2 linked regions of the Macaca mulatta genome follow. The protein of the gene in region 2 interacts with the protein of the main gene of each other region in a biochemical or structural test. Links are inferred from orthologs where the notes say so. Each region holds a gene or a part of one and is shown on either strand. Other genes may lie near its edges.

Region 1 (11,726 bases), about 100 Mb from region 2:
CACAAAGATGGGGAAAAAGCAGGGCAGAAAAGCTGGAAATTCAAAAAATAAGAGTGCATCTCCCCCGGCAAAGGAGCGCAGCTCATCGCCAGCAACGGATCAAAGCTGGACGGAGAATGACTTTCACGAGATGAGAGAAGAAGGCTTCAGTCCATCAAATTTCTCAGAGCTAAAGGAGGAATTACGTACCCAGCGCAAAGAAACTAAAAATCTTGAAAAAAAAGTGGAAGAATTGATGGCTAGAGTAATTAATGCAGAGAAGGTCCTAAACGAAATGAAAGAGATGAAAACCATGACACGAGAAATACGTGACAAATGCACAAGCTTCAGTAACCAACTCGATCAACTGGAAGAAAGAGTATCTGCGATTGAGGATCAAATGAATGAAATGAAGCGAGAAGAGAAACCAAAAGAAAAAAGAAGAAAAAGAAATGAACAAAGCCTGCAAGAAGTATGGGATTATGTAAAAAGACCAAATCTACGTCTGATTGGGGTGCCTGAAAGTGAGGGGGAAAATGGAACCAAGTTGGAAAACACTCTTCAGGATATCATCCAGGAGAACTTCCCCAACCTAGTAGGACAGGCCAACATTCAAATCCAGGAAATACAGAGAACGCCACAAAGATACTCCTCGAGAAGAGCAACTCCAAGACACATAATTGCCAGATTCACCAAAGTTGAAATGAAGGAAAAAATCTTAAGGGCAGCCAGAGAGAAAGGTCGGGTTACCCACAAAGGGAAGCCCATCAGACTAACAGCAGATCTCTCAGCAGAAACTCTACAAGCCAGAAGAGAGTGGGGGCCAATATTCAACATTCTTAAAGAAAAGAATTTTCAACCCAGAATTTCATATCCAGCCAAACTAAGTTTCATAAGTGAAGGAGAAATAAAATCCTTTACAGATAAGCAAATGCTTAGAGATTTTGTCACCACTAGGCCTGCCTTACAAGAGACCCTGAAGGAAGCACTCAACATGGAAAGGAACAACCGGTACCAGCCATTGGAAAAACATGCCAAAATGTAAAGACCATTGAGGCTAGGAAGAAACTGCATCAACTAACGAGCAAAATAACCAGTTACTATCATAATGGCAGGATCAAGTTCACACATAACAATATTAACCTTGAATGTAAATGGACTAAATGCTCCAATTAAAAGACACAGACTGGCAAACTGGATAAAGAGTCAAGACCCATCAGTCTGCTGTATTCAGGAGACCCATCTCACATGCAGAGACATACATAGGCTCAAAATAAAGGGATGGAGGAAGATTTACCAAGCAAATGGAGAACAAAAAAAAGCAGGGGTTGCAATACTAGTCTCTGATAAAACAGACTTTAAACCATCAAAGATCAAAAGAGACAAAGAAGGCCATTACATAATGGTAAAGGGATCAATTCAACAGGAAGAGCTAACTATCCTAAATATATATGCACCCAATACAAGAGCACCCAGATTCATAAAGCAAGTCCTTAGAGACTTACAAAGAGACTTAGACTCCCATACAATAATAATGGGAGACTTCAACACTCCACTGTCAACATTAGACAGATCAACGAGACAGAAAGTTAACAAGGATATCCAGGAATTGAATTCAACTCTGCACCAAGCAGACCTAATAGACATCTATAGAACTCTCCACCCCAAATCAACAGAATATACATTCTTCTCAGCACCACATCGTACTTACTCCGAAATTGACCACGTAATTGGAAGTAAAGCACTCCTCAGCAAATGTACAAGAACAGAAATTATAACAAACTGTCTCTCAGACCACAGTGCAATCAAACTAGAACTCAGGACTAAGAAACTCAATCAAAACCGCTCAACTACATGGAAACTGAACAACCTGCTCCTGAATGACTACTGGGTACATAACGAAATGAAGGCAGAAATAAAGATGTTCTTTGAAACCAATGAGAACAAAGATACAACATACCAGAATCTCTGGGACACATTTAAAGCAGTGTGTAGAGGGAAATTTATAGCACTAAATGCCCACAAGAGAAAGCAGGAAAGATCTAAAATTGACACTCTAACATCACAATTAAAAGAACTAGAGAAACAAGAGCAAACACATTGAAAAGTTAGCAGAAGGCAAGAAATAACTAAGATCAGAGGAGAACTGAAGGAGATAGAGACACAAAAACACCCTCCAAAAAATCAATGAATCCAGGAGCTGGTTTTTTGAAAAGATCCACAAAATTGATAGACCACTAGCAAGACTAATAAAGAAGAAAAGAGAGAAGAATCAAATAGATGCAATAAAAAATGATAAAGGAGATATCACCACAGACCCCACAGAAATACAAACTACCATCAGACAATACTATAAACACCTCTATGCAAATAAACTAGAAAATCTAGAAGAAATGGATAATTTCCTGGACACTTACACTCTCCCAAGACTAAACCAGGAAGAAGTTGAATCCCTGAATAGACCAATAGCAGGCTCGGAAATTGAGGCAATAATTAATAGCCTACCAACCAAAAAAAGTCCAGGACCAGATAGATTTACCGCTGAATTCTACCAGAGGTACAAGGAGGAGCTGGTACCATTCCTTCTGAAACTCTTCCAATCAATGGAAAAAGAGGGAATCCTCCCTAACTCATTTTATGAGGCCAACATCATCCTGATACCAAAGCCTGGCAGAGACACAACAAAAAAAAGAGAATTTTAGACCAATATCCCTGATAAACATCGATGCAAAAATCCTCAATAAAATATTGGCAAACTGAATCCAGCAGCACATCAAAAGGCTTATCCACCATGGTCAAGTGGGCTTCATCCCTGGGATGCAACGTTGGTTCAACATACGCAAATCAATAAACGTAATCCAGCATATAAACAGAACTCAAGACGAAAACCACATGATTATCTCAATAATAGATGCAGAAAAGGCCTTTGACAAAATTCAACAGCCCTTCATGCTAAAGACTCTCAATAAATTCAGTATTGATGGAACGTATCTCAAAATAATAAGAGCTATTTATGACAAAACCACAGCCAATATCATACTGAATGGGCAAAAACTGGAAGCATTCCCTCTGAAAACTGGCACAAGACAGGGATGCCCTCTCTCACCACTCCTATTCAACATAGTGCTGGAAGTTCTGGCTAGGGCAATCAGGCAAGAGAAAGAAATCAAGGGTATTCAGTTAGGAAAAGAAGAAGTCAAATTATCCCTGTTTGCAGATGACATGATTGTATATTTAGAAAACCCCATCATCTCAGCCCAAAATCTCCTTAAGCTGATAAGCAACTTCAGCAAAGTTTCAGGATACAAAATTAATGTGCAAAAATCACAAGCATTCTTATACACCAGTAACAGACAAACAGAGAGCCAAATCATGAATGAACTTCCATTCACAATTGCTTCAAAGAGAATAAAATACCTAGGAATCCAACTTACAAGGGATGTAAAGGACCTCTTCAAGGAGAACTACAAATCACTGCTCAGTGAAATAAAAGAGGATACAAACAAATGGAAGAACATACCATGCTCATGGATAGGAAGAATCAATATTGTGAAAATGGCCATACTGCCCAAGGTACGTTATAGATTCAATGCCATCCCCATCAAGCTACCAATGAGTTTCTTCACAGAATTGGAAAAAACTGCTTTAAAGTTCATATGGAACCAAAAAAGAGCCCGCATCTCCAAGACAATCCTAAGTCAAAAGAACAAAGCTGGAGGCATCACGCTACCTGATTTCAAATTATACTACAAGGCTACAGTAACCAAAACAGCATGGTACTGGTACCAAAACAGAGATATAGACCAATGGAACAGAACAGAGCCCTCAGAAATAATACCACACATCTACAGCCATCTGATCTTTGACAATCCTGACAAAAACAAGAAATGGTGAAAGGATTCCCTATTTAATAAATGGTGCTGGGAAAATTGGCTAGCCATAAGTGGAAAGCTGAAATTGGATCCATTCCTTACTCCTTATACGAAAATTAATTCAAGATGGATTAGAGACTTAAACGTTAGACCTAATACCATAAGAACCCTAGAAGAAAACCTAGGTAACACCATTCAGGACATAGGCATGGGTAAGGACTTCATGTTTAAAACACCAAAAGCAATGACAACAACAGCCAAAATTGACAAATGGGATCTAATTAAACTAAAGAGCTTCTGCATGGCAAAAGAAACTACCATCAGAGTGAACAGGCAACCTACAGAATAGGAGAAAATTTTTGCAATCTACTCATCTGACAAAGGGCTAATATCCAGAACCTACAAAGAACTCACACAAATTTACAAGAAAAAAACAAACAACTCCATCAAAAAGTGGGCAAAGGATATGAACAGATATTTCTCAAAAGAAGACATTCATACAGCCAACAGACACATGAAAAAATGCTCACCATCACTGGCCATCAGAGAAATGCAAATCAAAACCACAATGAGATACCATCTCACACCAGTTAGAATGGCAATCATTAAAAAGTCAGGAAACAACAGGTGCTGGAGAGGATGTGGAGAAATAAGAACACTTTTACACTGTTGGTGGGATTGTAAACTAGTTCAACCATTGTGGAAAACAGTATGTCAATTCCTCAAGGTTCTAGAACTAGAAATACCATATGACCCAGCCATCCATTACTGGGTATATACCCAAAGGATTATAAATCATGCTGCTATAAAGACACATGCACACGTATGTTTATTACGGCACTATTCACAATAGCAAAGACTTGGAATCAACCCAAATGTCCATCAGTGACAGACTGGATTAAGAAAATGTGGCACATATACATCATGGAATACTATGCAGCCATAAAAAGGGATGAGTTTGTGTCCTTTGTAGGGACATGGATGCAGCTGGAAACCATCATTCTCAGCAAACTATCGCAAGAACAGAAAACCAAATACCGCATGTTCTCACTCATGGGTGGGAATTGAACAATGAGATCACTTGGACACAGGAAGGGGACCATCACACACTGGGGCCTATTATGGGGAGTGGGGAGGGGGGAGGGATGGCATTGGGAGTTATACCTGATGTAAATGACGAGTTGATGGGTGCTGATGAGTTGATGGGTGCAGCACACCAACTCGGCACAAGTATAGATATGTAACAAACCTGCACATTGTGCACATGTACCCTAGAACTTAAAGTATAATAATAATAAAAAAGAGAAGACATACAAATGGCCAAGATATATGAAAAAAAATGTTCAATATCACTAATTAGCAGGGAAATGCAAATCAAGACTGCAAGAAGATAACACCTCACTCTAATCAGAATGGCTACAATTAAAAAATCATAAAACACCAAGTGTTGACGAGGATATAGAGACAAGAGAACCTTGACAAACTGCTGGTAGTAATATAAATTAGCACAACCATTATGGAAAACCGTATGGAGGTGGACTGATCATAATATTAAAAGTTGTTTATATTGTTACATCATTCAGCCCCTGTAACAACCTTATCCCCATTTTATGTGTTCAGAGTTGAGGCTCAGAAAGAATGACTTATGTTAAGGAGTACAATAAACAAGTTGAAAAGAAAAAAAAAAATAGAGAAGAGAACTTAAAAATAACTTTCATTAGTATTCTAAGATTCATGAATATACTCATTCATAAACAAGGACAAACTAATATGCAAAAAGTGAATAACTGAATAAGTAAAAGTCCATGAAAATTAAGAATACAATTACCAAAATTAAGAAAAAAAATTGATATTGAATTGGAAATTAAGAAGCCTCTCAAAATGTAAAGCAATAAAAAAGTTGACAAACATAAAATGTAAATCCAAGAGGTCCAACATCCATGTAAGGAGTGTCTCTGATGACAAAGAACAAAGGCAATCAAGGAGAAGAAATAATTATACAGTGGAAATAAAAACTCCAGAGCCCAAGACATGACTCTTCAGAAAAAAGGGTTCATTCAGGAAATGTGGTTCAGGATCAATTTAAAAGAACCCATATACACATCCTCATTAAATGTCAGACCATCTCAAGAGGTGTTCCTTCTCATTCTTTTCTCTGGATCTTCTGCTTATCCTTGACTTCTAAATTGTGTGCACCAGGGCTCAATATTTTTGCTTCTTCTCTTTGTCTCTTCTATACTTCACTCATTTACTATTGTCTCATCTAGACTCATCATTTTGAATGCTATCTATGTCTTGATAACTGCCAATTCTATATCTTTATTTCCAAGCTCTCCCTAAAATTCCTGAAATCAAATCAATTTGCTTCCTGTAATCTAACAGACATTTCAAGAAATGACTAAAGTACAACTTTCACCTCAATTCCTACTTCAAATTGCTCATCTCCTAGTCTTCCCCATCTCAGTAAGCAGCAACACCATTAATTCAGTAGCTCAGGCCATAAAGCCACGAGACATGCTTAACTCTTCTTTTCCTCATTCTATGCATACAACCCACCAGCAAAGCCAACATCTACCAGAAGTTTGAAAGAAAGATGTGTTCAAGAGGAATATTAATTGCCTAAAACTATTGTGAAATTGCATTTTCTCTCTCTTTTACCCCTCACAACTGTGTTTTATTAATTGTATCTTTCATTCAAAACAACACGTTCTTTAAGAACATGAGAATGCATCTCCTTGTGTATGGCACAAATACTGTAAGTTCTACAGTAAATAACACATAATATTTTAAATGTTGGCAATTGCTTTTAAATTTTAAATAATAAAAGTGTGAAAGAAATGTATATTTACTAAGTTTAATGTAAATTCGATAAGCCTTGAAATTATAAAAGTAATTTAAAGGCAGGAGTCAGTAGGTGGAAATAGATGTGGAAAAAAAATACAAGAAGAAAAAAAATCTCCGCTCTTACAATGTAGGAAACTAGGAGACATTGTGAAAAACTGATGGGTCAAGACATAGAATTTGTATGATGGTAAGTAACAATGGAACTTTTCAAAAAAATGCCTGGTAGGGACTGGAGTGGGGAGAGAGGACAAGTACGAGAGACGTCAATTTCCTATGTGTAACAGAGGGGAATCAATAGCTATTGTTAAACTGGTACATTAACAAGCAACACATATGCATATTGTTTAAGATTTAGATTTAATCTCAAGAAAAACTAACCAGAAAGTGATTAAAAATAATCATTTCTGATGAGTGGGAAAGGAGAAAAGGATAATGAGCCTTACGTTTTATTTAGCAACCTCCTGGTTTAGGAATTAAATGAACAAATAAATCAAAATATTAACAAATAATGAAGCAGATAATCACATTCAATCTAGTTCTGTGTATTTTCACACATATTTATTTAAATAAGATGTTATAAGGAAATACCAATTTTTGTTACACTGGTAGTCAGTAGCATAAAGGACACAAATACTAATTTAGACTATGTTAGTGAAGTTTTTATTTTTAATCCACTACATAAATACAGAGATTGGTTAGCTACTATCTGGTCAAAATATATTGATGCTAGGGTATGCATTTATTAAAGAATTCTATTTTTAAAATCCTCCACATCTAGACCCAGAAAAGCTTACACACTGATTCACTGTAATTATCTCCTGAAAGTATTACAGGCCTATAGACCCCTCCAAAGTGAGACACTGCAGTTTTGAACACAGTAAATATTTCCATTGTTGCTAATGCTACCTCTTGTACCACTTCTATGCTTATAAATATAGCACTATTTTTACCTTGAATAATGCATGGCTTGGTGGCCTGCAATATTAAAATAGAAGTCTGTTGTGTGCTTCATTTCATTGGTGTGCCCAGTGGCCTCAATCCAGTGTCCTATTGGGAGACAATACACACCATCCACCAAGTTGTTTTCATTGTAAGTACAGCAACGGTCATGATGAGGTCCATTGCCTAGAACAAGAAGAAATGATAAACAGAGCAATTAAATCAGTGTTTGGTTTAAACATCCTCAAAGCGGCTGATACAAAATTAATAGCAAAAAATAAATAAATAAATAAACAAAGCTACTTAATCTACACATTTCAGTATAAACAAAAAAGACTAGAGTGAAAAACAGAACAGTAGGAGTTTGTAAAGAGCTACTTATGAAAATCAGAGTGTTTTACTCCCTTTGAGTACATGGGTTATAAAAAGCATGTTAACTCAGAGTTTCATGGTACCTCTCAGTGCTCTAAGAGGCCATTATGAATCACTTTGCAGCCTGAGAAGCTCCTAAAAAAAGTTTTTAAAGCTATTAATGCCCCTGTATTATACAATTCTATCTTTCTGGTATGCAAATTTATGAATAAAATCAGGAATAAAGTGTTTTAGTATCAGCTCAACCAAAAAATGTGTAATTACAAATAAATGCATCAATAAATAATAAATGATCACATCAAATCTACTTTACAGGTAAAACAGTTATTATCATTATTTTCAAATGAGGAAAATAAGTCTCACAGAGATTAACTAGCTTGCCCAAGGTCATAGAACTAGTAGTGCGGCGCTAGCAGCAACCTGCCTCTCCTAGTCCCCCACCTTTTCGGCATCTGATGCCTTTGTGATGCTCCCTGCTGATGTCATATGCACAAAGACACACCGTCTTCCTTAAAGGGCCATGGATCAAAGGAAGCAGAGACACATCTCTAAAAATATTATTTGCCTATTTCACGATTCTGCGCAGTATCAAGTACACTAGTTGCTATGGTATGAATGTTTTTGTTCCCCCAAAATTTATATGTTGAAATCCTAACACCCAAGGTGTTGGTATTAGGAGCTGGGGCCCTTAGAGGATGATTAGGTCATAAAGAAGAACCCTCACCAATGTGATTAGCTCCCTTATAAAAGAGGGATGAAAGAAACCCCTCGCTCCCTTCCACCATGTGAGAAAACAGCATGTCGCCGCCGTCTATGAACCAGAAAGTGAGCCCTCACCAATCACTGAATCTGGTATGCCTCAATTTTAGACCCCCCAGCCTCCAGAACTGTGAGCAATAAATTTCTATCGTTTATAAGCTAACCAACATACAGTGTTTTGTTTACAGCAGCCCAAATGGTCTTAGATACTAGTAAACCTTGATTTCTCTAAAAATTATAATTCATACATTATTTTTATTACCTTTTTATTATCCCATTTCAAATCATGCCTTTCTTTATACTACCTAATTATAATATACTGTAAGAAAGACATGTAAGCAAACTAAATGTATGAGTGATTTACAGAAATAAATCACATCTGTTATGAATATAAAAATGTGATTCATTTGTTCTTTTCTCCTTGCTCTGTCTTACAAAATATTTAACCTAGATCTGCTTGTGGCATAAGCTCTCAAAAAAATCCTTAAATTATTTGGTGTTTCTTTGAGATATAACTCCTTCCATCAGACAGAAGGTACAGGATGACTCCCTTAATAAACCATTACTGATCTTCCTAGATCCGTCACCTCTTTTTTCTCTTAATGGATGTTTTTTCTCGATGACTACAAGGCACTGCACCACATCTCTATTAACCTTCATTTTTAATAGATAAAATCCAAACTATACTAGCAACTTCACTTCTAGAAACATATCCAACAGAAATATTAATAAGAAAAAAGAATCTCTGATGCATACAGAGATACATGTGTATAGTAATACTATTTTAATAGAAAATACTGTAAACCATAAGTTTTTTTCATTCTTCTACAAATATTTATTGAGGCAGATACTGTCCTAGGTCATGTTAAGAACTCAGATATTTATCATAAGAGCAATTAAAAATTTGAAATATTCTAAGCAGACATGTAACATAACCAGATTTTATTTTGAGGATACCTCTCTGGCTACAGAGTAAAAAAATAATTTAAGAACAATCAGACAGAAGCAGAGAGTCCATTTTAAAAACTACTATATTGGCCTAGGTGGTTTATGATGAAGCTTGGTCACAGACATTGAAAGGATTATGCAGATTCAGGAGGGAAAAGCCACAGGACTTGATTAATTGGAAAAGGAAGGTGAAAATGAAAGGGGATCAATAATGACTCCTAAGCTTCTAGTGAAAATAATTCAATATACAGTGGTACTATTCACTGAGATGCAAAATCTGAAAGAGGCTGTAAGGAAAGATCATCTATCCAGTTTTGGCAACGTTGGGTTGGAAGTACTCTTTAGATATCCAAAAGGAGTCGTCAAACAGAGAGCTGGAGTTATTGATTTGATATTAAGACCAGAAATCTGAACTAGAAACATAAATATATGAGTAATTTGAGTGTAAATGGTAATTGAAATAGGAACATAGATGAGTCACAAAGCAAAACAATATGAATTGAGGAAAAACGTTCTAGAACAAAGTCTGAAAGTCTTTCCATGTTTAACAGCCAGAGATAGAAGGATAAACTTACAAAAGATGAATAGAGAGAGAAGCTGAAAAGGAAAAGCAAGAGTGGCTAAGTGAAGCGGCAGAGCATGACTGAAAGTGTAAACACAGACTACAAACTGGATGTGGTTACTTCTAGGAAATGGAATTGGATGGAGGGAAACTGTCATAGTCAACTGTTTTGAATTGATTGGATTACCTACAAGGAGTGGGTGTTTTTTTTAGTTTAATGAAAGAATATCTATGGCTCCCATTGGTCAGTACAATTGACTTACAACACTGACTTACAACACTGACTTACACTTACAACACTGACTTACACTTACAACACTGACTTACAACAACCTTTAAAAATATAATTGTTGAAGAGATCAAATATTCATAAATTATGACGGTCAAGAAGAATTATTTATGTATCATCATCTTCATAAGAATTCTTCATTCCTACAATGATTTCTTTAATTGCTCATTTTTATACCTTTATGTTTTAGGCAACATTTAAAAAAATCTTTCATAGATAGTAACCTGAGTTATTCAAAATATGTTCTAATAGTTAAAATGTATTTTAGAGGATGGGTTTTTGTCTTTTTAATTTCACCTAATGAAATGGCAAAAATGAATAGTAAAATAATTTTGGTTTTGGAGATTTCTGCATGTAGAACTATGGAATAAATGTATTTTTCCCTAGTCCTCCCACTAAGTATAATTTAAAACCCTGAAAATTATAAATAAACAAACATAAGATAACTTTGAAAGGCAAAGAGAAGACAGACCATCCAGAGACACTGAGACCTAAGGAAAGACCTAAGTATTGAGTTCCCTGCATTTTCTTTTTGCCTTATATATCCCAGACTTAGATCTGAAGAAGCCAGCAACCTGGTAACACAAGGACAGCAAAAGGAAAACATGACAAAAGTCCACTCTCTCTAGCCAAATGAAAAGACAAGCCTAGCCAGACAGAAATCTGTTTGATAATAACTACACTACTCCAGTTAAACTCCAGTTAAACTCCAGTTAAACTCCAGTTAAACTCCAGTTAAATTAAACACCATTACACCAGTCATGGTGTCAGAAAAGAATGAGTAGGGGTCTGAAACTTTCAGCATCACCCTTGGCAATGCAGTGGAGTCCAAGTGGAAAGGTGGACTTCCACCTCCATTTGGCAGTAACGAGGTGCCCCTCCTTCCCACTGAGATCGTGTCACAGGTGACCTAGTGGAAAGTCAAGATTTTTACCTCCTTCCCGCCCCACCATCAGTGGATGCCATATGGGAAGCAGTAACAAGGCATTCCTCCCTTTCTCAGGCAGAGAGCTATCAATGGAGGCCTAGTGGAGAGCTAGAACTACCACCTCGCTCAGGGAGGAGTCTGTTTGGTTTGGTTATGAATGGAAACAGTGTGAGGAACTGGGTAATAAGGTGGGACCTCTATTCTTCTGCTGGAGTGGTGTCAGAAGAATTCAGT
Region 2 (12,341 bases):
GTCTAATTAATACATCGGGTAGAGTATCATTGGTTGATTGGCTGTCCTTCTGTTAGGTGTGCACCCCTATCCAAGTAGCTATGGTCCGAGGGGATCGTGTAATAGAAAACCCGGCTGCTGACGGCTGGCTCTTGATGGGGCAGTTTTTCTTAGACGTGGCCGTGGGCACAACAGACACCATGGTTACTCAATACAGTAGTTGTGGTGAGTCTCTGGCTGCCCTATCATATTTGCTACACATTCTCCAAGAAAACAGTTCACCTCCTGACTAGCCATGATACACCACCATAGCATATCTCTATAGTGGAACACTAACACCAGTATATATTTCTTTTTAATATGGCATGTGTAAGGATTATTAGATTTGCTATCATCAGTGGTTCTTCCTCATTTTTCTGAGGTGCACAGGTTAATGCTTGTTCCTTAGAAGGTTCATAATTCACTTTAGGTGGGGTCTGCACCCCACTTAGTTGGGGGCCGGGGAAGGTCTGCATAAGGCACTAGCAAAATCGTGATGGTCTGGGTCCTGGGGTCCAGAGCTAGATTTGCTAGAGGGGAGATTTACGAATATGAACCAAGGTCTTTACAAAATGCCAAGGAAAGAGATTGAGAAAACCAACTCCAGGCGGCAAGTCCAGAGGGTGGAACAAGGTCAAAAGCAGGAGACAATCGAAGGATTGGGAATTGGGCAAAATTGGAATAGATGGAGGGTGATATGAGAACTGCTGACACAGGAGCCAAAGTGTCTGTGTTTGCTTTTATGGACTCACCAGGCAGGCCATGGGGGATATTCTGGAAGAGCCTATTTTCTTTTCCTTCTCCCTTTACTCCTGGGCACGTTCTTTTGTTTCAACCTCTGCGAGTCATTCCAAACCTTCTTCATCACCTTGGAAGCTTTTACTTTCTGCTGGGGTTATTTTTTCCTGCCTGTCTCAGAATTCTCCAATTTCTTCAATAACCTGGAGTTCAGCATGACATATCTCAAGCCTTTTAACCAGCTTGCTTTAAAGAACACAGTCTGGCTGGGTGCGGTGGCTCATGCCTGTAATCCCAGTACTTTGGGAGGCCGAGGCAGGTGGATCACTTGAAGTCAGGAGTTTGAGACCAGTCTGGCCAACATGGTGAAACTTCATCTCTACTAAAAATACAAAAATTAGCTGGGCATGATGGTGGGTGCCTGTAATCCCAGCTGCTGCAGAGGCCGAGGCAGGAGAATAGCTTGAACCTGGGAGGCAGAAGTTGCAGTGAGCAGAGATTGCACCATTGTACTGTAACCTGAGCAACAGAGCCAGACTCTGTCTCAAAAAAAAAAAAAAAAAAAAAAAAAAAAAAGAACACAGTCTGGAAGATGAATTTTGCATCTGCCTTACAAGTCACTGAAACTATTCTCTCAGCACGTGTGTGCCTGATAATCAAGAACAACAAGCTTCGTGTCTTCCTCAAGGAAACTCTGCTCCTGTCCTAGGACATTCCTGGGAAGTGCTGCTTTATACAGTTCTTTTTATGTTGTGCATCCAGCCCCATTCCAGTCCCAAGCCTGATAATCTACCAAGGAAAGATACCAGTTACTAAGATGGCTTGTTATCACAGGTCTGATACACTCCCACATCATCTCACAGATGCGCACCTGATTCTTGAAGTCAGGTAATCCACATGATGACCAGCAATGCTACCTTGCTCACATACCTCCCTGCATTGCATATTCCACACCTTTATCATGACTGCTGTCTGAAAAGGACACATGTCCAGCTTTATAATCAGAGACGATGCCATTAATAATTCCAAAGAGAAAAATCTTTTGAATTGGCTCTACTAATCCTAAAATCATTAAACTGTCATTGTTCTTAAGGAAAATGGTCTAAGATCTGTCCTCAGTTGCTCTATTCATAAATGACCAAATAAGTCTGAATTCACATCTCCACTTGGAATGTTTCTTGGTATGTATTCAGAACACCCGTGAAGTCACCAACCTAGGGGTGACTTTAATGGTGGGATATGTGCATGTGGGGACAAGAGATTTGTCCATAGAACTTCTGTTTAGAATGCATTTATAAATCGTGGTCTAGGGTGCCCCAAATCTTACTATTAGTGCTATATGATGAGAGCATTGACAACAAAATGGGTTTTTGTGGACTGGCATGGGAGTTAGGCTCTCACTTTTACTTTACATGGGTGAGGCACAGTGGCTCATAGTCCCAGTGCTTTGGGAGGCCAAGATAGGAGGCTCGCTTGAGCCCAGGAGCTTGAAACCAGTTTGGGCTACAAAGCAAGATCCCATCTCTACGAAAAAATTAAAAATTAGCTGGGCATGGTGACACACCTCTAGTCCCAGTTATTCAGGTTGCTGAGGCAAGAGGATCGCTTGAGCCCAGGGCGTTGAGACTGCAGTGAGCAGTGATTACTCCACTTCACTGCAGCCTGGGCAACAGAGCAAGACCATGTCTAAGAACAAACAAACAAACAAACAAACAAACCCATAAATATGTAACATAAACATGTAACAGGAGCGTCATCTGGCCCTCTGACAATAGTATGTAGTGTGTTCTGCAATAGTTTAGAACTTATGTAAATATAGGCCTTTCTCAAACAACCAAGTGTTATTTTCTGAGTATGTATAGTGGAGAAGATATAGGCATTACAAGACATGTTTACCTTTTTAATAAGCAGTTCAATTGTTTTTCTTATTCACGTAATTCAGGATCAACAGTAACTTCATCTAATGTGCCATCAGAGCAGTCACAAATTGAATGAAAGTGATGGCCACCACAAAATCCTTTTTCTCCTGAACGCTCCATAAAGTCTCCTTTCTTTGCACATCTTTGTGCTAAAATAATTAGCTACTTGTAGAGACAGTACACATAGCAACACTATTCATTCACCTACTTTTCCCCACATCTGCTATCTTATTTAAGCACAACTTAGTTGGAATCAGAATTGAATTCAAATTGTGACTATGGCAGTAAGTAACTATGACCTCGAGGAAGTCACTTAAGCTCTCTGGGTTTCAGTTTTCTCACTTGCACGATGAGATTAATAATAAAAATTATGGCTAGGCAAGGTGGCTATGCCTGTAATCCCAGCACTTTGGGAGGCCGAGGAAGGTGGATTGCTTGAGCTCAGGAGTTTGAGACCAGCCTGGGCAACATGATGAAACCCCATCTCTATCAAAATACAAAAATTAGCTGGATGTGGTAACGCACGCCTGTGGTCCCAGCTACTTGGGAGGCTGAGGTGGAAGGATCACCCGAGCGGTGGAAGTTGAAACTGTAGTGAGCTGTGATCATGTTTCTGCACTCCAGCCCGGGTGACAGAGCTTGACTCTATCTCGGGGGGGAAAAAAATTACCTCACTGGATAGTATGGATTAAATGAGCTAATATTTGCAAATTTCCTTGCACAAAGAGTATGCATTCAATAAATGGTAGATTAATCTCTAATAATTGTCCTAAGCTTTGTAAGTCTACCAGACAGTTTTAATTATCCCTGCCTGCATAGATGAGTTTAAGTGACTTATCCAGGGTTAAACAATTCATTAATGGCAGCACTAGTGCTTCTGATTCCAGGGCCCCACCCCAGCCCATCACCCCCAGTCAACTTTATAGACTTTTATAGAATGAGATGCTGTGTCGAGCACAAGAAGAGAATTCTCCTTGGTGAAGGTAAGAGCCACAGGATGGGAAAGACCATGAGTGACCATGGGCTTCAGTACTGGAAACTCCTCAGGTTTTCCTAAGCAAAAGATAGCGGGACCAGAGGTATCTGCAACAATTACATTTCCCTGGTGATCAAAGGTCACAGCGGAGGCAGTTATTTTGGAGGGAAAATAGAGGCTCAACCCAAAGGTATCCACCTGGCCGACAAGTTGCATACTTGAGCTAAACACTTTCACCCTGGTGCTGCAAACCCCAGTCCCCAGGGCCAGGGGGTGCTCCAGGACTGCAATGGCCCCCGTGAGCCAAGACACTGCCACCCCTCGGGGACTGCACAGATGAGCTTGCAACTTTTCAGTTCTCCGAAGGAGCCCTTCCGCGAAGTCGACGTCCAGGAGGTGCAGGGACCCTGCCTCCGCGTCAGTTACCACAATCCCATTCTGAGGGGTGGTCTCCACACCCCAAGGTAAGGAGAATTGGCCTCCAATGACAAGCTTGATCTGGCCAAAAAAATCAAACACTTTGATGGAGCGATCGCCGGCGTCAGTGACAACCACATGGCAGTCGTTGGTGATGGTGACATCCACAGGATACCTAATGTCTTGGGAAGCGTCCCCCTTCTCTCCAAACTGATGCGCGCATCCTCCCCCAGAGTCAAAAATCTTGACACGCCTCCTGCCGTCGTGCACCACCACGACCCGCCCCGTCTTGGGACAAAGCGCCAGTCCGGTGGGGTTGACCAGGGTCCCCCAGCCGCCAAAGGTATGGTGGCAGGTGAGGGCTCCGGGGGCGCTGGGGACGGCGCGGTGGGCGGCCGGGGACTGGCGAAGCGCTGAGCCCAGGAGCTCTATGAGGTGCAGCACCGGCAGGCAGTCGCTGGTGTCGCAGCCCCGGCAGGCTCGCCTGCAGAATGGGCACTCGAGGGCCAGCGTGCGCGGGTGCGCCAGGGCGGCCACGCAGGCCAGGCAGACCACGTGGCCGCAGGACAGGTTGCGCGGGCGCCGCTGCTGCCGGTGGCCAAACTTCTCAAAGCACACCTTGCACTCCAGCAGGCTGATCTCCGCCTCGCGCATGAGCTCCTGCAGAGCCGGCTCGCTCTCCGAGGCTTCGGCCGCCATGGCGGGTCCTGTGCACTCCCGCCGCGCCGCCCGGCCGTGTCCCAGAGACGCTCTTGGTCACGGTCACAGTCACGGTCACGGGGTGGGACGTGCGCCCTGACGTCAAGCGCCGCGGGCCTCTGCACTGCGATCTGCTGCCCCTTGGTGGGCATGCGCGGCACTGTTTCTTGAGGGCCTGGTCGTGGACGTTTGCAAGACAAATCCACATGTGCATTGTGTAGACCTGTAATCGTCACATCAGTCATGGATGGATTTTGTACACTTTCAGGTGAGGAAACACACCTATTGAGGACAACAGGATTGCTCCCTGTTACCCAGCCTGTAAGTGCCAAAACAAGAACCAGAACCCAGTCTTCCAGCCCGGGTACCTAGCAGTGTCTCCAATCCTCAGCGTTGGGTGCTAGGGCTGTCCAGGCATCAAACATGGTCCCCTAGCTCATGATGCTTTTGATCTGAACTGGAAAACACGAGCACACGGGAGAAGACAAACTCCAAGGGAGGTGAGGCAGATGTGTATATTTCTTTTGTGTCTTCTTTCACACTCGTTGTTAAGTCAATGAATACATACTTGTAAAATGAATTCGTGCATGAATGAAAGAATGTTATAGAACAACAACAAAAAATCAACTAGGTGAATGAGTGTCAGACGGGGGAACCACGCTGGAAGTGTCTTGCAGAGTAATTAATATGAAATAAGAAAGCTGTTAGTTAATAATAATTACCATAGAACTTTTTTTTTTTTTTTTTTTTTTAAAGACCAAGTCTCACTCTGTCACTCAGGCTGGAGTGCAGGGGCACGATCACAGCTCAGTGCAGCCTCCATCTCCCAGACTCAAGCAATCCTCCCACTTCAGTAGCTGGGACTACAGGCATGAACCACCACACTAGGCTAATTTTTAAAATTTTTTTGTAGAGAGGAGGTCTCTCTGTGTTTGTCTAGGCTGGTCTTGAACTTGTGAAAATTGTTCACAATCCTCCCCACCCCTTGGCCTCCCAAAGTGCTGGTGTGAGCCACTGTGCCCAGCCTATAGAATTCACATATGCCTGCCCTGTTTTGTTAGGTTGGTGCAAAAGTAATCGCAGTGTTTGCCATCACTTTTAATGGCAAAAATCGTGATTACTTTTGCAGCAACTTAATAGTTTACATAGATTATCTTGTTTAAACCTCATAGCAATCCTACAAGAAAATGTTATTTTTATCATCTTTTTTTCTCATAGAGTTCACATAAATCAAATATCTTGCCTAGGGTCACATGGCTAGGAAGTGGCTGGCCTGGAATTTGAAGCCAGGCAGTTTGACTTCAGAGTTACCTATTTTAGTCATTTTCAAACTTCTTTGCACATGGTAAACACTTGGGTCACACCCGAAAAGTTTAGTTGGCCCATGGTGTGGTCTGGACAGCTGGGATTTATAAAAGCTCCCCAGGTGATTATAATGGACAGCCAAGTTTGAGAACCGCTGCATTATAATAATTCCTTCAAATGGCACTAAATTCAGTTTTTCCAATCTCAGTGAAGACCAAAAGCAAAGAGAATTTGCCATATGTTGGAAAATCTTCAAACAAGGGATAGCATAATCTGCGTGAAGAATCCATTGTGGTATTATGAATCTCTCATTTTTCTTTTTTCTTTTTTTCTTTTCTTTTTTTTTTGAGATGGAGTCTTGCTCTGTCACCAGGCTGGAGTGCAGTGGTATGATCTCAGCTCACTGCAACCTCAGCCTCCTGGGTTCAGGCAATTCTCCCGCCTCAGCCTCCCGAGTAGCTGGGATTAAAGGCACCCACCACCACATACGGCTAAGTTTTGTATTTTTAGTAGTGATGCGGTTTCACCATGTTGGCCAGGCTGGTCTTGAACTTCTGACCTCAGGTGATGCACCCGCGTCAGCCTCCCAAAGTGCTACAATTACAGGCATGAGCCACCATGCCCGGCCCTGATCTCTTATTTTAAGGGGTTCTCCCCCAAATGTCTTATGTGAACATTGTGCTTAACAAAACCTTATATCAGAGAATTTCTGTTCCTTCAGAGATCATAATCATGATCGTTCACCTTCTGATTTGCTGGATTTCTGAGAAAACACAGCATTTTATACCCTGTTAAGGCCCCTGCAAAGAGTTTTAATGTAAGACAAGAAAGAACGTTTGCTAATCAAATGTCATCTGACCCAAAGATTGTACAGCCTGTACCCCTAAGACAGCCGTACCATGCTATATAGTAAAGTTCAGTGTTCAGCCCCTACTCCTACAACCTGTGATGTCTGAGAACAGGACTATCTTCAACAGTCAATAAACCTTTATCTGCTAGCACACCCAACAGTACTTAAATTGCTGAATGAATGCTGACTCTAATAACAGGAGAAAGACTAAATAATAATGGTACTGCCACATTACAACATTATACAGCTATTTAAAAATCTTGCTTTTGGGCCGGGCGCAGTGGCTCACGCCTGTAATCCCAGCACTTTGGGAGGCCGAGGCGGGCAGATCACGAGGTCAGGAAATCGAGACCATCCTGGCTAGCAGGGTGAAACTCTGTCTCTAATAAAAAATACAAAAAATTAGCCAGGCGTGGTGGCGGGCACCTGTAGTCCCAGCAACTCGGGAGGCTGAGGCAGGAGAATGGCGTGAACCCGGGAGGCGGAGCTTGCAGTGAGCCAAGCTCGTGCCACTGCACTCCAGCCTGAGCGACACAGCGAGACTCCATCTCAAAAAAAAAAAAAAAATTGCTTTTGAAAACTATTTAGTGATGTTGTAACCAGTAGAGGGTCTGGACTACAAGTTGTCCAGATTCTTGGCTTTTTCAACAAAGAATTGGACAAAATGAAGCAATGAAAGCACAGATTTATTGAAAATGAGGGTGGGACCTGGCTAAGCAGTGGCTCAAGGGCCCTGGTTACAGAATCTTCTGGGGTCCAAATACCGGCTAGAGGTTTCCCATTAGCCACTTGGTATTCATCCCATGCAAATAAAGTAGTGGCCTGCCATCAGTCTGATTGGTTGCTTTTGCTTTCTGCAACCAGAGGCTGAAGTGAAGTTACAAAAGTTACACTCCCATGCAAACGTCTGATTGGTTGCAGACGTTTCTGCCACTCAGAAAAGGCAGGGAGGCGGGGGCGGGGGGGTTGGAGAGGTGTTACAAAGGGAGTAGCCTCTGGTCCTTTTGTTACTTAGGCATGGAAAGTTGAGGTTTTCCTTTCAATTTAGTTCTAGGAAGTCAGCATCAATCAGCCTTAGGTTCCTTGCCTCCAGACCCTATTCTCCTGCCTCAACATGGCGAAGGGCGAATACATAGGAAGGAAGATAGTGGAGATGCAATGCTGTATCGTAATATGATCACAACCTTGTGAAAACATACACATGTATGAGCAGACAAAAAAGATGAGAAGAAAATACATCATCATCATAGCAGTAATTATCTCCAGTGACAGGACTTGATTGCTTTTGTTTTTCTTTTTAAACTTCCTAAATTTTCAATGCATAAAGGATTATTTGTCTTGTTTAAATATAAATAACTTAATATTTTATGGTATATTTCATTTCTAAATATCTGCCTTGATTATCCTCCTGTTGTTGAAAGTTAACACTGATAGTGAAATAAATTTCTATTAATACTCACTGTTTAGGAATCACAGATTTTCAGACATATTTTCAGCCCACAAATTACAGCTACACATAATTAATAAACCTGGGACATGGCTATTTTCTGCAAATCAGAATGACTATGCTTAAGGCACATAAATAGAATTCTATCCGATTCCCATTAACTCAGCCACTGATCAGTTTGTCATATAATGTTTTATAAGGCAAAAAGCCATCACATAAGAAGCTATTGGAGTCAGAGCTGTGGGGATTAAAGATAATTTTGATTTTTTTTTTGAGACAGAGTTTTGCTCTTGTTGCCCAGGCTGGAGTGCAGTGGCATGATCTCAGCTCACTGCAACCTCTGCCTCCCAGGTTCAAGCGATTCTCCTGCCTCAGCCTCCTGAGTAGCTGGGATTATAGGCACATGACACCACGCCCTGCTAATCTTTGTATTTTTAGTAGAGATGGGGTTTCACCATATTGGCCAGGCTGGTCTCAAACACCCGACCTCAGGTGATCCGCCCACCTTGACCTCCCAAAGTGCTGGGATTACAGGCGTGAGCCACTGCACCCGGCTGATAATTTTGATTTTTAAAAAGCACTCAGTAGAAATCTTACTCTGACTTTTCAGAAAGAGTAGGTGTAGGCTGAGCAGTACTTTGGGAGGCTGAGGTGGGAGGATCACTTGAGGCCAGGAGTTCGAGATCATGCTGGGCAACATAGTGAGACCTCATCTCTATTAAAAAGAAAAAAAAAATTAGCTGGGTGTGGTGGCACATGCCCGCAGTCCCATCTACTCAGGAGGCTGAGGCAGAAGGATTTCTTAAGCCTAGGAAACCGAGGCCGCAGTGAGCTATAATCACACCACCGTACCCCAGCCTGGGTGACAGAGTGAGACCCTGTCTCAAAATAAAAAATAAAAATAAGGAGTAGGTGCAACATAAACATATACATGTATCCACAAACACACATTGAAATTGCTCCCTTGTATTAAAATAAAACAATGACAGGTATGTACTGCAGTTGTGACTGGGTAAATTACTTGAACTAATATCTCCGTGGCTTGGGTTGTATTTGTCACTTCATTCTGCCAACGAATCCCGTCAGCTGGGAGCTCTCTCATAGGTACATCTTTCGGGCCACCTTCCGTGGTCCCTGTGCCATTCTTTATGGAGCCAAATCTCTAACTTGCCAGTGATAGCTGTTTAAGCTTTGGTTATATTTCTTTGTATTTTTCTTTCCACATTCACCCAAACAGACTGATTATTACATACCTTTCTTTCTTTGTCCTGTCTGCTACTGATAACATTGTCTACACTGGAGCATTCGTGCCTGCTTCATAGGCAGGGCAAGGCATTTGTAAACCACAGTGTGCAGGGTACAGAGGCTTAGATAATCTGTTACTTAAATAACAAAATGAAACAAGCAGCATTTTTGGAAAATCCTAAAAACAATTCAATTGCTCTAAAATAATTTATATGTGGTATATCTTCCATCTTGAGACTTTGAGAAGTCAGTATTCCCCAATGAAGACACATATTACATAAAAGATCAACTACGGAAGGATATCTCATTTGTATTATTGAAGATTCTTTGAGCACAAGTGCAAGAGGAGAGGACTCTATCCCATGGACACAGGGTGTTCTTCCCCACCCTGGGCAGCTGGGCTTCAGGAAGGATGAAAATGGACCCAGAACACAGGTGGCCTCTCTTTCCACAGATCAGCATTCTGTTTCTCAGATCCACGTGGTGGAATGTGGCTGCCCCACAGCCCCCAGGCGTACACATTACAGATTCCCCATTCAGCAGTCAACTTGGCTTTCTTTCTTTTCTGTTTTTTGAGATGGAGTCTCGCTCTGTTGCGCAGGCTGGAGTGCAGTGGCGTGATCTCAGTTCACTGCAACCCCCACCTCCCAGGTTCAAGTGATTCTCCTGCCTCAGCCTACTGAGTAGCTGGGAGTACATGTGCGTGCCACCACACCTGGCTAATTTTTTGTATTTTTAGTAGAGACAGGGTTGCCTTTCTATTCCCAAGTCCAAAAGTCTATGAAGAGGGCCAGCGCAATGGCTCACACCTGTAATCCCAGCACTTTGGGTGGCTGAGACAGGAGCACTGCTTGAGGCCTCACATCAAGTTCCACATCAGCCTGGACAACAAAGTGAGACCCTGTCTCTACAAAAAAAGTAAAATCAAAAGTCTCTGGAGAGAATTGTGTTGGTCCAGCTTGGGTCAGTTTTCCATTCAACTGGTGATGCAGGCAGAGTTGGGGAGTCATGGCTTCTGAAGCCCACACGATAGACTGGGAGCATGTCTCAGAGATGCAAGAATCATTGTGGGCAAGGAGGTGCTTCAAATTAATAGCCTTACAAATCTATTAGAATACATCAATGGCAGAGAGCTTCTAGGGTAGAAGTTTGTACATGCAGGTCAAGGAGAACTAGAGAGGTTGACAAGACATATCTCTGGGGAGAATACCATAGCTTTCACCAATGTTAAAGGGGACCCCAAACCCCCCCCCCATTAACAACCTTTAAGCCAGCACACACGCATGCGCACACACACACGTAACTCATTTTTTATGATGCACAACTATCCTATTAACATGAGCTGAACAATCTAAACCATTTAGTTGTTGGGTAGTACAGAGCTGTAGAGGACTGTCTGATATAACAAAATGTGATCGTTAATGAAAAACTGAAAAATCTAAACTTTCATAATAAACAGCCATGAATCCAGCTCTAAGTACATTATACTTTATAAGACCTGATGATGTAAACAGGTTAAATTATAAAAAACAACAACTGCCAAACTAAGAGAAAACTCAAAGAAAAATTTACTCTTAGAATTTGGGAATGTTTATTCCACATAGATTATTTAATTAAAGTTTGTTTCTTGATTCCATTACAGATTGTTTAATTAAAATTTGTTTCTTGATTCTGTTATATATGGAGACACCATGTGAAAAGGGATGCTAGGATCTGAGTAAAAGACTTTTAAAAAAGGTTTATAGGGCCGGGCGCGGTGGCTCACGCCTGTAATCCCAGCACTTTGGGAGGCAGAGATGGGCGGATCATGAGGTCAGGAGATCGAGACCATCCTGGCTAATACGGTGAAACCCCGTCTCTACTAAAAAATACAAAAAACTAGCCGGGCGAAGTGGCGGGTGCCTGTAGTCCCAGCTACTCGGGAGGCTGAGGCAGGAGAATGGCGTGAACCCGAGAGGAGGAGCTTGCAGTGAGCTGAGATCCGGCCACTGCACTCCAGCCTGGGTGACAGAGCAAGACTCCGTCTCAAAAAAAATAAATAAATAAAAATAAAAAATAAATAAAAAAAGGTTTATAGTAAAAACTAATCTTTTATATAACTTTTGGGACCACCTTGAACGCTACTGAAGTGTTATATTTCTTCGACAATTCTAAATTTCATAAAGAATGTCAGGCCGGGTGCAGTGGCTCATGCCTGTAATCCCAGCACTTTGGGAGGCCAATGTGGGCAGATCACCTGAGATCAGGAGTTCAAGACCAGCCTGACCAGCATGGTGAAACCCCGTCTCTACTAAAAATACAAAAAATTAGCTGGGCGTGGTGGTGCACACCTGTAATCCCAGCTACTCGGGAGGCTGAGACATGAGAATCACTTGAACCTGGGAGGTGGAGGTTGCAGTGAGCTGAGATTGCGTCATTGCACTCCAGCTTGGGCAACAAGAATGAAACTCCATCTCAAAAAATAAAATAAAATAAAATAAATGCCAGTTTTTCCGTGTGTATTATATTTAATATGCATTGCATTTAAAATTTTTTTTAATTGTACAGGTAACACATGCTGATTGGTAAAGTATCTTGTAATCTGCACGACACACAGGTATAATCTTCCACATCATAATGTCCTCTCCTAAGGAGCTACTTTAAAAGTTTAGTTACATCTTTTTCTTCTAAAACTTTTTTAGAAAAAGTAAACGGCTTTACTAAAAAGCCATTTTTAGTAAAGATCTA

What was found.
Region 1: the proteins of NHLRC1 (region 2) and EPM2A form a complex in vitro, tested with the Homo sapiens proteins (3 studies listed by BioGRID, with this or other methods). The link is inferred for Macaca mulatta from reciprocal best matches to the Homo sapiens genes NHLRC1 and EPM2A.

Annotation. Positions count from the first base shown.
Region 1 is NC_133409.1:64,004,959-64,016,684, forward strand, and holds part of EPM2A (laforin), read right to left. Parts: intron 7,821-11,726; coding exon 7,646-7,820; intron 1-7,645. UniProt on the Homo sapiens protein: Plays an important role in preventing glycogen hyperphosphorylation and the formation of insoluble aggregates, via its activity as glycogen phosphatase, and by promoting the ubiquitination of proteins involved in glycogen metabolism via its interaction with the E3 ubiquitin ligase NHLRC1/malin.
Region 2 is NC_133409.1:164,950,476-164,962,816, reverse strand, and holds NHLRC1 (E3 ubiquitin-protein ligase NHLRC1), read right to left. Parts: upstream 5,581-12,341; 5' UTR 4,768-5,580; coding exon 3,580-4,767; 3' UTR 2,643-3,579; downstream 1-2,642. UniProt on the Homo sapiens protein: E3 ubiquitin-protein ligase. Together with the phosphatase EPM2A/laforin, appears to be involved in the clearance of toxic polyglucosan and protein aggregates via multiple pathways.